Sus scrofa: one gene and its partners. The protein of the gene in region 2 binds, or shares a complex with, the protein of the main gene of each other region. Links are inferred from orthologs where the notes say so. Each region holds a gene or a part of one and is shown on either strand. Other genes may lie near its edges. The genes, in order: AP1G1, AP1M1 and AP1S1.

Region 1 (3,745 bases), on a different chromosome or scaffold from region 2:
ATATTTAATAAAAATGATGTTACTATTATTACACTCTTGGTCTCCTTTCTTTCCAGCCTTGGCATGCCCCAATTGTTCAAGAGCAAAATTGTAAGGTGGCCCTACTCAATTTTTGTAAAATGCTTTGAAATCCCTTCCTGAAAATGGCTAAGGAAAAAAACCTCCTGTCTATGACAGGTCCTAAACTCAAGGTTTGTGGTTGATTCAGCTCTTTGTCATCTAGCTAGGTGCTGTGCTTTGTTCACTTTTGGGGATATTCTATTGCCATTCTACCTGAATGATTTTAGTTTAGATAGGTCACCTTTCCTTTAAACAGGCCAAGATATCATGGTAGTCTTTATGTGCACGTGGAAAATATTCGTGTAAGGTGTTAGTAATTATTTATCAAGCCAGGACCTGGCTGATGCCTCAGGTTGGCCTGTATAGTTGGCCTGTCTTTGGCGCAGGTCATCATGGCATGGAGTCAGTGAGAAGGCACACTCTGAAAGGTTTTAGCTATCGATAGTCCAAATCCTCTTTTTTTACATGAGAAAACTGAGTCCCAGAGACTTTAAATGTCTTGTTCAATGCAGGAGGTTGAGAGATGATACTGGGGTTGGAATCTGTTCTTCTGTGTCTTCTGCTTTTTTTTTTTTTTGTTTTTTTTTTTTGCTTTTTAGGGCCGCATATGTGGCATATGGAAGTTCCAAGGCTAGGGGTCCAATCTGAGCTACTGGTCTAAGCCACAGCCACAGACAGCAAGGAAGGATCCCAGCCGCGTCTGCAGAGTACACCACAGCTCATGGCAACTCCGGATACTTAACCCACTCATATCCTCATGGACTCTAGTCGGGTTCACAACCCGCTGAGCCACAACGGGAACTCCTTCTAACTCTATTTTCACAAAATACGTTCCAAGGTGCCATAAAACCTCAGAGTCCAAGATCACTTGGAGTATGTTTCTGAAATTAAACCTAAAGAGAATGCTAAGGTCTCAAAGAAGATAGGAAAAGAATCTAGGGTTCTCATGGCATAGGACCCACTTAGCCTAGCTCAGAGTTCTCCGCCCCCACCTGCCTCGGCTCTCCACTTCCTCCGCTACCTTGCAAGCCCCACCCTCTTCAGGTGGCCCCGCCACTTCCTGGTAGCCCAGCTTCCCCACCCCCTACCCCAAGCGGAACCAATGTCCCTGGGCCCCGGGGTCGACCGGATCTTTCTTGCTCCTACTCTTCGCAGCGGTGACTCGGCAGCAGCGTCTCGCGTCATCAGTGACAGCCCCGAATTTTGCTACGCTTTGCGTCGCTCTGCCAGAGCAGTCACCTCCTCCTTGGCAAATAGTCCTCGGTGGGGTCCGAGTTCCTGGATAATAAGAGGGGGGAGGCACGAGAAATTGCAGCCAGGGGACAAGGGATCAACAAGCAGAGGGAGCTAGGGACTGAAGTTTCTGCGATAGTGTGCGAAGTTAGTTAAAAAAAACTCCCTCCCTCCTAAGAATCCTTCCGCCTGCAGTAGCGGTGGTGAGGCTGAGGGAGCCGCCATTTTGGATGTTCGGTTCCTGCTGCCACTGCTGCCGCCGCCCCCGAAGCTGCTGGTTTCATTCGAGGTTTCGGGCCGGTGAGTGTCACTCGTGGCGCTAAGAGCATACTGCTTTTTTTTGCCCAGTGCCTGTCAAGAGCGCTCGGCCGGAGACTTCCTGTCAATTCTAGGGGTCCGGTCCCAGGCCGTGGGGGGTGAGAAGAGAGGACGGAGGCTGAGCCTGTAGGGGCCCGGAGCCCCAGGAGCTCCTCGACTTCTTGAGGGCCGACCCCGAGGCCTCGGACCGGGAGGCTCTGCGCGCGGCCGCCTTCCGTGCTGCGGCGTTGCCCGGCTGGTGTGGGCCTTCTTGAACCCATTGACTTTCTCAGGCTGAGATCCTTCTTTGAGGGCTCATTCAGAAAGCCTAGGGTTAGCGGGGCGGGTCCCACCTCGGGCGGGTCCCACCCCCGCGTGTCTTCTCTGTGCCACGTATCAGCGTTCTTGTATCTTGTACCCTTGTCAGGTCTTTCGTAGAACTCTCATCGGCGTTTCCAAATGCTTCGTTAGTCGCTGTCTGCACCTGCATTGCTGTTCTCTTAGAACCGGACATTGGCCTCGCCTCTCTCTAACCTTCCTACCAACTTCTTTCCCAGTTTTCCGGGTGTTTCTTTTTCATTTTCTTTTTTTCTTAAACTCATCTGCCAATACACTGCTTATCTTCTCTCAAACTCCTGATCCTGTAGGTGTCAACTACTAATAATTCTCTCGGTCTTCTTAACTGTTGGGGAGAGTCAGGACGGTTGGTTGTGTTTCCCTGTTAGGGTTTTGTTGTAGGAGACGGGTCGAACCACTCGCTCAGAGTGTAAATATTTGTAAAGCTAATGAAACGGCTTTGCGGAGAGGAGGTGGTAGGGAGAGGCTGTCAAATGTTTTCGCATTTGTGGGGTTCCCTTCCCATGCTGAACACTTAACTTTTGGGTACTTTTTGATATTTATGTATGGTGTATATCATTGCCTATGAAAATCTACCTGTGAAAAAGAATTTCAATCTGACATAGATAGAAAGGAAAGTAACTTTTTCGGCTGCTCTGGGCATTGCTTAACAGAAGAGAGGAGTGAATGAACATATCTTAGTGACCTTAACTTTCAGTTGGTTTGTACAGTAATGTTCTTTGTTGGCTGATTCTAAAAAAGTACTTGGATTAATTTCGTGTATTGTATTTTTCTGGGGATAGTTGGATTTTAAATATCCGCTTTCATTATTCCCCATAATACTTGTCAGACTGTATACACCTTAACTTTTTTGGTTTAAAAATATAGACTCCCCAGATACCCATAATCTTACTTTTATTTTGCTCTTAACATGTTTATATTATAGCGTGCTTGAATAAAAGGCATTTCACAGTAATTCACTGATTATTTCCTACATTTCAAGTTAGGTGAGTGTTATTGAGTCACTTGTATTTCATCTCAGCCTGGATTTTTACATCTGCAAAAGAATAATAACTGACTTGAAATTGTAGCCTAGTGATTTAAACTTAGATTTATAACTTGAACTGGGTCAGATTTTTTAGTACTTCTAATCCATTTATAAGTGTATTATTCTTATCCTCAGGTTATTATCAGGTAGATAAATTCCGCTGCTAGTCATGTTTTCAGAAGAGTGAATGTTTTCATTGTAAATAGTGTTTTTGTTATTTGTTATAAGGAGACTTTACAAAAATACATTAGTTACTATTTGTGTATTTACTCTGAAGCTGTGGAGTTTCTCTTTTCCTTGAAAGAACTGTCAAACAGAACATAGATGGAATCCTCACTCATTTACTAAGTATCCTCTTGTAGTTGCTACTGACATATTCCATTTTTGAGTTCCACTTTAAAAACAAGGTATTGGAAGAACTATCACATAGGTATTATTTACTCGGTTTATTTCATGGAATTGTGTACTGGTATTTAAATACCATTCATTCTTAGGTGGTTTGTGTTCAGTTGGAGAAAGTGTCCTTTTGCTTTGCAAATGATAAGCAAAACACCATCGATTGATTAGCACAGACTTGAGTATCTACTTTGTCTAAAGAGGTTGAGATTGTACTTGAAATTAACATCATTTAGGAAACCTCAATTTATTTTCTTTTGGAAGCAATTGCTGTTCTCTAATCTGTTTCACTGACAGGAGTTCTAGATTTGGAGGTGTATTTTAGAGTGAAACTATAAAGTACAAAAATTGTCAGCAGTGCCTTTGTGATACTTA
Region 2 (3,745 bases):
AATAAAGATGGTCTAGATAAGGTAAGTGCTCCTGAGAGCCATTGTAGAACATTTACATCTCACAGAGAGAAAAAAATAATAAAATGCCCAGAGCAAGTCTGAAAGGAAATCCTCCATAATGAGAGGGGTTACCGCTCCCATGTGGATTTCTTTATACTTTTTGGCATTTCCTGATTTCTTCAGTGCAATGTACAGTTTTGTAATTTAAGAAAAAAAAAGACACTTTTTTCCTAAAAACATAATTTGGGCAGAGTGAGGCTAGGTATAATCAGATTGCTTAAGAGACGGTGTCAAAAAGCTTCTCAGCTGCTTTATGCCCAGGATTCACTGGTAATCTTTAAAGGTTCTAGTTTTCTTCTCTGGATTTTCTTGCACTTACATCTCTACCTTAAGTAGAAGGTATATAACCACAAAGTTGCAAAAACTAACTCTCAAAACCCAAAATGGAGGCAGTAAGGAAGATAAAAGTAAGAGGCAGGCAGCCGGGGTAAATGGTTCTGATAGTGCAGGGCCTGGGGCCCAGGGCATTGTGATGGTTCACTGGGACAGAATGCAGCATTTCTCCAAAGGCCGAGTATTCATAAAAGCAAACAAGGTATAATTCAATTAGATGAATCAGGAGTCACAATTTGCATTACTCACAGTGACCACTACCTACAGAAATAAATCACCTTTTTGCCTAGGTTCAGTGAGGCGTGGTTTTCAGATCATTTCAGGCAATAAACTGCACGCTTGTTTACCAAATGTTAGCACTGACAGGTGACAGGAACTTACTGTTGATGAGGCTCGATTGCCATTCAGAGAGTTTGAGTTCTTTCCAAGTAACCACCACCTTATCCCTCCTTATAAAGTGTATCACAATTGGTGTCTATGTATTTGTTCCCCAGCCTTCCCCACCAAACTATGAGTTCCACATGGCTGGGCCCTCGGTGGGTTCCACCACCAGGATCTCTCACCTAGTTTGGCCCACCAAGTGGGATTTTCCAGCGACATGAGTTTTCCCAGCTGCCATTCGCCGTCCAACCAGGCAGCTAGAGAGTTGCTCTTCCGCCGTCCGCCCGGCTTGGCCCCGCCCCTCCCCGCCCCTCCCCGCCCCTCCCCTAAGAGCTTACTTCCGGGATACTTGAGGGAGGAGCGGAAAATAAGGCCTTATCGGGAATATTGCGCCTGCGCACATGGCGCCTTGCGCCTGCGCTTTGGCAGCGCGTCCACGGCCAGACCTAACGGTCCGCGCGCTACTCCCCGGGCCGGAAGTGGAGAGGAACTGTCTCGGGTGCGCCCGGCCTGGCTCACCGCCTGGCAGTCACCGCTGTCGCCGCCGCCTTCGGCCAGTGCCGAGGGTTTTTGCAGCCGCCATGTCCGCCAGTGCCGTCTACGTGCTGGACCTGAAGGGCAAGGTACTGATGGCTCCCCACCCTCGGTGTTGCCAGGCAACTGGCCGGGGCCTCGCCCCTGGGGACCCACCCTGTTGCTAGGTAGCCGGCCAATGGGAGCCTCCCTGGTCTTTGAAGCTTTGGCCTCACCTGAGGGCTCTACCCTGTTGGTAGGTAACCGAGAAGGTGTCTTCTGTCTGTGAGTCCTGCCTTGTTGCTAGGTAACGCGGTGGGCTGCGGCCGTTGCAAGGTAAACGCGTGCACGACCCCCATCCTCACCTCTGTGGGCAATGAGCTCCGGCCTCCGTGGGGGTCCCGGGGAACCCGAGGCCGCTAGGAGCGCGGGCCGCTGCCGGCATGTAAGCCAGGCCTGACGCCGCGGGGCTGGGCGACCCTTGACCGGAGGTGGTGAGGCGTGGCGGGGACACTGTGCCCTCAGGCCAGTCCCGCTCTCCGAGAGCTCGGAAGCTTCTGTTTATCCAGCGACTTTTCTGTAGCAGTCCTTGTAGGGGTTTCTTAACATTCATTGTAACATTGAGTTATAAGGGTTAGGTGAGGTGGGTGGTGGGAATGCTGTTTTACAGAGGGAGAAACTGAGGCACAGAGAGGAAATGCAACCTGCCTAAGGTCACACTGGTCAGTCACAGAGAAGTGGCAGGTCTGGGAGTGGAACCCAGAATCATTTGTTCATTCAGCTGGTATTTGGGGAATATCTACGAAGTGCTGGGCAGGGTGCTAACCTTTGGGTTGCCTTTGGAGAGCAAAATCAGAGTCTGTCCCTGTCCTTCTGGAGCTCACAATCTGATGGGCGAGAGGGACACTGATCTCAAAAAGCACAAATAAATATAAGTTGTGGAGCAGTGAGGATGTAATAGGAAAGTCCACCTCCGCTGGGGGTCAGGGAGGGCTTCCCAGGGGGAGTGACAAACCCAGCTGAGACATGATGGAGGAATTGGACATAACTAGAACCTCGGTGCTTTTCCCAGGGGTTTCAGGGAAAAGTTCTTAAAGGAGGGATTGCAAAGCTTTCAGAGGAGGCCTACTGTCTTCCCCCCAAGTCCATTCCTTCTAGAAGGCAACTGGCCTCTTTCATTGGGGAATAATAAGAAAAGACAGGACTAACAACATTAAAACAGGCCCCTCATGGATGAGTTAGTGGGTGCCAGGCCTAGGCGGAGGGAACAGGAGTAGCGCAGAAGCAGTAGGGAGTGAAGAGGTAAAGTGACTGTCCCTTGCCACCCCAGTCCCCACCCCCAGCACTTTCCCAGAGCCCCTTGAGTGGGTTGCCTGCCTTGGAGGCCACCCAAAGTCAACAGGCCCTGGGCCAGGCTTCCTTCCCCAGCCTTCTTAGAGGGCACAGGGCACACCAGGGACTGGGAGGGTGCAGTGTTCCCTGTGTCTTGGTAGCACATGTTCTTGTTTCTGCCATGGTCACCGTGTCCGCAGCAGTGCCGCAGACTGCCTGCTCACATCACTTGTTTCTTCAGCAAACATTTCATGAGCACCTCACATGCACCAAGTCCAGGGTTGACCTGAGGAGTTAGGGCTGAGCTCAAAACCTGTCTCTGCTGCTCAGCTACGTGACCTCGGGCAAGTGTGTGAACTCCCTGAGCTCAAGACAAGCTCAGCACCACCCATGGTCCACAGTCCATGTTAGTCCCCATGGACCTCGAGCTCTGGCAGGGGAGGTGCATGAAAGCTGACAGACCCAAACAGAGACATGGATCTAAATAGGCAGATGTACTTAGCAACAAGGGCAAGGACAAAGCCCCAGGTAATGAAGTTGCCCAACCTTAGTTTTGGCTGGCAGCAGAAGTGGTTACGAAAGGCTTCCTGGAGGAAGGAGAGGCCAGAGCTGGGAAGGTGACCAGGTGGTAGTCAGGTGGACAAGGAGGTGTCACAGTGGGCCCAAGGGGTGAGTGGCAGCCTATTGGGCCTGGCAAGCCAGAAGTCCTAGTTGGTGCTGGAGCCTCGGAGATGGCATCAAGAAGGCCATGGGTATTGAGGATGTCCAAACAGGAGGGCAGGACAGAAGGGACTATTTTATCTCAAGAAGGAAAAGCCACCATGAGGAGACCATAGCCTGGGAGAAGCATAATCAGACATGCCTTTCAGGAAGCTCCAGAGGCAGCCTCCTGTCCTGAGTAACCATCATGCTATTTATTATCCTCCGCCCCCCACCCCCTCACCCTGCCCCACGGACCTCATGTTTTGAATGTTGGCCTTCTGCGCAGACTCCATTAAATCAAAAATAAGATAATGGCACATCAATACATTCACAACCACTCGTCTACCTGACAGCCAGAGCCTCTGATCACCAAGGAAACCAGCGTGACCACTTTCAGCAGATAGAAAACCCTCCACGGACATTT
Region 3 (3,745 bases), on a different chromosome or scaffold from region 2:
AACCAAAAGGGAACCAGAATTTCAGTCAAGGTGGCTGGAGTTCACCACTGGCCTCCAGAGGTCCTTAGCTCTCAGCTCTCCCTGATCTAAGGACTGCTTATTTCTCAGCCATGTGAACCCATAGCCAGACCCCAATCAAGCAGGAAACAGGTGGGACTGAGAGCAGGTGGGAAGTCACCTCTTATAGACGACTTTGAGGTCCCTCCACTCGAGGAAGCTGCACATCTTGGGCTTGCGAGCCAGAACAACCTGCATGAGCTCCCGAACCATCTTCTTTCGCTCCTTGTCTGATGTGGCCAGGTACCATTTTTGCAGCCGCAGCTTTCCCTGCCGGCTGAACAGCAGCATGAATCGCATCTGGGGGTGGAGGGGGAGAGTCAGAGCAGAAGGTCAGAGATTTGGTTCTCTGAGCTTGTTTCCTCCATAACTACGCAGCCCCAAACTCATCCCAACTAACGGTTCTACTCACAGCTCCTTTCTCCAACATGTCAGCCCTTGCTGTCAAGCCTAGGTGCTTCCACTAGCAGGTGTCAGAGCTTCTGAGTCTCTTATTCGGGTTCAAATCCTGGCTCCACTAGTTGAGTACTTTGCCTTGGGCAATTACTTTATGTCTCTGGGCTTCAGCTTCTTGGTGTGTAAGGTGAAAATAATAAAAGTCCCTACCTTACACAGTTGTTGAATGGGATGAAGAGAGTTGATAAATGACACAGTGCCCGGCAGGAAATGAGCACGTTAACACCTTAGGTGTTATTATTATTCCCTGATCTTCTGTTTCCTAATCATGTTTTCCAAAAGTGGGTAAAATGCTAGCACAGTGACAAGTAGCCTGTAGCTGAAATCAGGTATCTCATCCCTCGAGAAGCTACCTCAGTTCAACACCCCATCCCAGCCAGATACCCTAGCTGATGTCCCCAACACACTGCCCGCCAGTGCCAGGCCTATGCCCCAGGGTCTCCTTCATGTCAGCACATGATTCCACCCTCCTCTCTCCTCAGCCACCCAGGCATTTGGCCTCTGAGATTCCTCTTTTCTTCCTTTCAGGGTGCCACCTGCTACAACGCCCACACCTCCCCAGATACCAGGTGACCAATTTCCCTTCCAGTTCCTCAGTTTGGACACAGCCATTCAGAGTGGCTCCCCTAGGGAATGTTGTGGAACAAGTGCAAGAGGGTGGAGTGGGGAAGAGTGCAGAACCCTCGACCCCGTAAACCCCGCAAACCCCGCCGGCAGCTTCCCAGTTCCAGGGGTCTGGGTCACACCTGGAGTCATCTCCCTCACCCACTAGCTCTTGTCTCCGTGTACATTCCCAGGGCCGGAATCCTGGGGATGTGGAACAACACTAGCAGGCTAAAGATCAGAATTCAAGAGAACCGATTTTTTTTTTTTGCTGGCAGGGAAGGGGTAGCACTGCTAGCGTGGTGGGAGGGCCACGGAGGGGCTGAAGGGAGCCGTGCTCCGCTAAGATGGGGGGTGGGCCGGGCAGCAGGAAGACGGAAGGCCTGGGTTCCGGAAAGAGGATGAGGTGGGGGCGGAGAGGCCAGAGCACGCGAGCCGAGGAGCCAAAAGCTGGGTCCCCGAGAGCAAAACCTCGAGACCACTTGGCTTTCCCACCTCACTCCAGCCTCTAGGTGAGCAGGGCGGCAAACCGCGGCAGGACGTCCCCTCGTCACACCCGGAAACTATCCCCTCCCACACACACGGCCCTCCCCGCCGGCGGCCGCCGCTTCTCTGTGGGCTGCACGGGTACAGTCAGTCTGGGTGACCCGAGACCCCCCTCTGCCTTCCTCCTCCGACAGGCCCCGGTGCCGCTCTTCCTCAGGCGACTTCCCTGTGGCAGGGCTCGGGACCACTGGGTTCGCGACCCGCGCGTTCCCGCTCGCCCGGGCCAGTCCCGCCGCCCCCTAGTCACCCTCTCACCCCACAAATGTGCCCCCTCCCCGCCCCTTTGCCCTTAAGCCATTTCCAGCTGCTCTTCCTTTCGAGGCCGGCTGGCCCACCCGTCCGGATAAGTAAAGGCCTCTGAGGACCGGAGGGAAGGAAACGGCTCACACAGAGGGCGGCCCCCCAGGACCCCCGCAGGTGCAGCCCACGCCCCTCGGTTCCCCCTCCCCTCCCTCTTTGCACAGCCTACCATCCTGCAGCCTCCGGCCCTGCGCGTCCCTCTTCAGCCACCGTAGGCGCCAGCTCCACTCCCTTTCAGATCCCTTCGCCTCCTTCCCTCCCTCACGCTTGAAGCCCCGCCCCGTCCGCCCCGGCACGGAGAACCCATGCGATGCGTACTGCGCAGGCGCCAACGCTGCAGGGCGCGCAGGCGGGGCTGGGGGGCGGAGAAGCGGAAGCCATGGCAACCAGGTCCTCGACTTCAGCTTTGATTAGCTCTGTCGTCATGGTAACAAGGCTGTCTTGTGGGCTGGTTGGAGGACGGGGGAGGAGGACAATGAGGTCCTCGCGCTTTGGAACCTTGGGGGGAAAAGGCGGGAAAAGGGGTGAGAGATGGGTGAGATGACCGCTGGAGTTCATGAGGAAGTAGGGTGGTTTAATGGAAGGGGCGTGGGCGACTGAGAGGGAACAAGGTGGGAACTGTCTGTGGGGAAGGAAGAATGATGAGAAAGGCGAAGACAAAGGGTGGGGGGGGCAAGCTTGAGAAAAGTATGGAGCTCAAAATAGATATCTACTGAGAACCTGCTAGATGCAACACTCAAAGTAAGAGAGATTTGTAGGTAATGAGAGAGACCAGAAATAAAAGAAAAAGGAGGGGCTGATAGAAAACTGATGTAAGGAAGAGGGGGAGCATGAATTAAGGCAAAAGAGGAAGAAGTCGAGAAAATTTTAAAAGGTTAGCATAAATCAAAGCTAGGAAAGGGTCAGTTGTAACCCAGACACAAGTGTAAAGATGAGAATTGTCATACAAGCTTTTTGGCTGAGGATGTGCATGTTTGAGTGTGTATGCTTGTGTGTGTAAAGGAGTTTGCATATAAATAGGTAAGAAAATCTCAAACTTGCTGAAAAAATGGCATATTTCTAGATAATTCTTGGAAATTAATGGTGCTATTACTTATGAGCAGCACTTGAAGCAGTTGTTGGTAAGGTCCTACCTGTCTCCACTTTGTATTCTTTTTCCTTTACTCTTTGTTATGGAGGTAATATGCTTTAGTTGCCAGAGGGTGGGCCTAATTCACCTGGGATGCAATCTGGTCTCTGATTCTTATTTGATGTATAGTCTCAAGTGGGTCATTTGGGGGGGGGTACTGCTCTCACAGCATGCAGATGTGCCCAGGCCAGGTAATCCAACCCTCGCCACAGCAGAGATCCAAGCCACCAGATCCTTAACCCTCTAGGCCACCAGGGAACTCCTCAAGTGGATCATTTAACCCTCCTTTCCTCATTTTAAAAACGAAGATAGCATTACCTACCCTGCAAGTCTGATTTCAGGCTGTATATATCTGACACACTGTAAACACCTGATTTGGGTAGGGATTACGACTATTTGCTTTTTCCACCCTCTTCCTTCTACTATTTTTTCTTCCTTTCTTTTTCTTTTCCCTTTCTCCTCTGCCTGTATCATAGTCTTGCCAACGATGTCGGCTGAACTCTCTTGGTGTTATTTTTTAGGTCAAGAATTATATCAATAAAGCAAGGTGTTAGTGTTAGAAAGGGTAAATCGTTATGGAGTGAGAAGAAGGGATGGGATCGGGTAAGAAGGGCAGAGGACAAGACAATACAGTGTGCTCATGGGGGAGAGGAG

The links.
Region 1: the proteins of AP1M1 (region 2) and AP1G1 are in contact, whole or in part, in a cryo-EM structure (PDB 7R4H), measured with the Mus musculus proteins. The link is inferred for Sus scrofa from reciprocal best matches to the Homo sapiens genes AP1M1 and AP1G1. Residues at the interface, in NP_031482.1 of Mus musculus: Ser289, Asn318, Asp319, Ala320, Asp321, Ser322, Trp334, Pro336, Glu337, Asn338, Ser339, Gly361, Leu362, Pro363, Ser364, Val365, Glu366, Ala367, Glu368; in NP_001288140.1 of Mus musculus: Arg24, Glu25, Gln28, Lys29, Ala32, Arg35, Ser36, Arg39, Glu40, His64, Phe65, Gln67, Leu68, Gln97, Val99.
Region 3: the proteins of AP1M1 (region 2) and AP1S1 are in contact, whole or in part, in a crystal structure (PDB 1W63), measured with the Mus musculus proteins. The link is inferred for Sus scrofa from reciprocal best matches to the Homo sapiens genes AP1M1 and AP1S1. Residues at the interface, in NP_031482.1 of Mus musculus: Lys12, Glu31, Asn186, Asn188, Val189, Leu190, Glu232, Glu234, Asn270, His272, Arg421; in NP_031483.1 of Mus musculus: Lys26, Lys30, Arg33, Glu34, Gln37, Lys43, Glu51, Trp52, Arg53, Asp54.

Annotation. Positions count from the first base shown.
Region 1 is NC_010448.4:14,807,258-14,811,002, reverse strand, and holds the start of AP1G1 (AP-1 complex subunit gamma-1), read left to right. Parts: upstream 1-1,181; 5' UTR 1,182-1,593; intron 1,594-3,745. UniProt on the Homo sapiens protein: Subunit of clathrin-associated adaptor protein complex 1 that plays a role in protein sorting in the late-Golgi/trans-Golgi network (TGN) and/or endosomes.
Region 2 is NC_010444.4:61,383,586-61,387,330, reverse strand, and holds the start of AP1M1 (AP-1 complex subunit mu-1), read left to right. Parts: upstream 1-1,202; 5' UTR 1,203-1,355; coding exon 1,356-1,397; intron 1,398-1,512; exon of another isoform or gene 1,513-1,623; intron 1,624-3,745. UniProt on the Homo sapiens protein: Subunit of clathrin-associated adaptor protein complex 1 that plays a role in protein sorting in the trans-Golgi network (TGN) and endosomes.
Region 3 is NC_010445.4:8,879,518-8,883,262, reverse strand, and holds the start of AP1S1 (AP-1 complex subunit sigma-1A), read right to left. Parts: upstream 2,271-3,745; 5' UTR 2,135-2,270; coding exon 2,132-2,134; intron 1,629-2,131; exon of another isoform or gene 1,499-1,628; intron 358-1,498; coding exon 179-357; intron 1-178. UniProt on the Homo sapiens protein: Subunit of clathrin-associated adaptor protein complex 1 that plays a role in protein sorting in the late-Golgi/trans-Golgi network (TGN) and/or endosomes.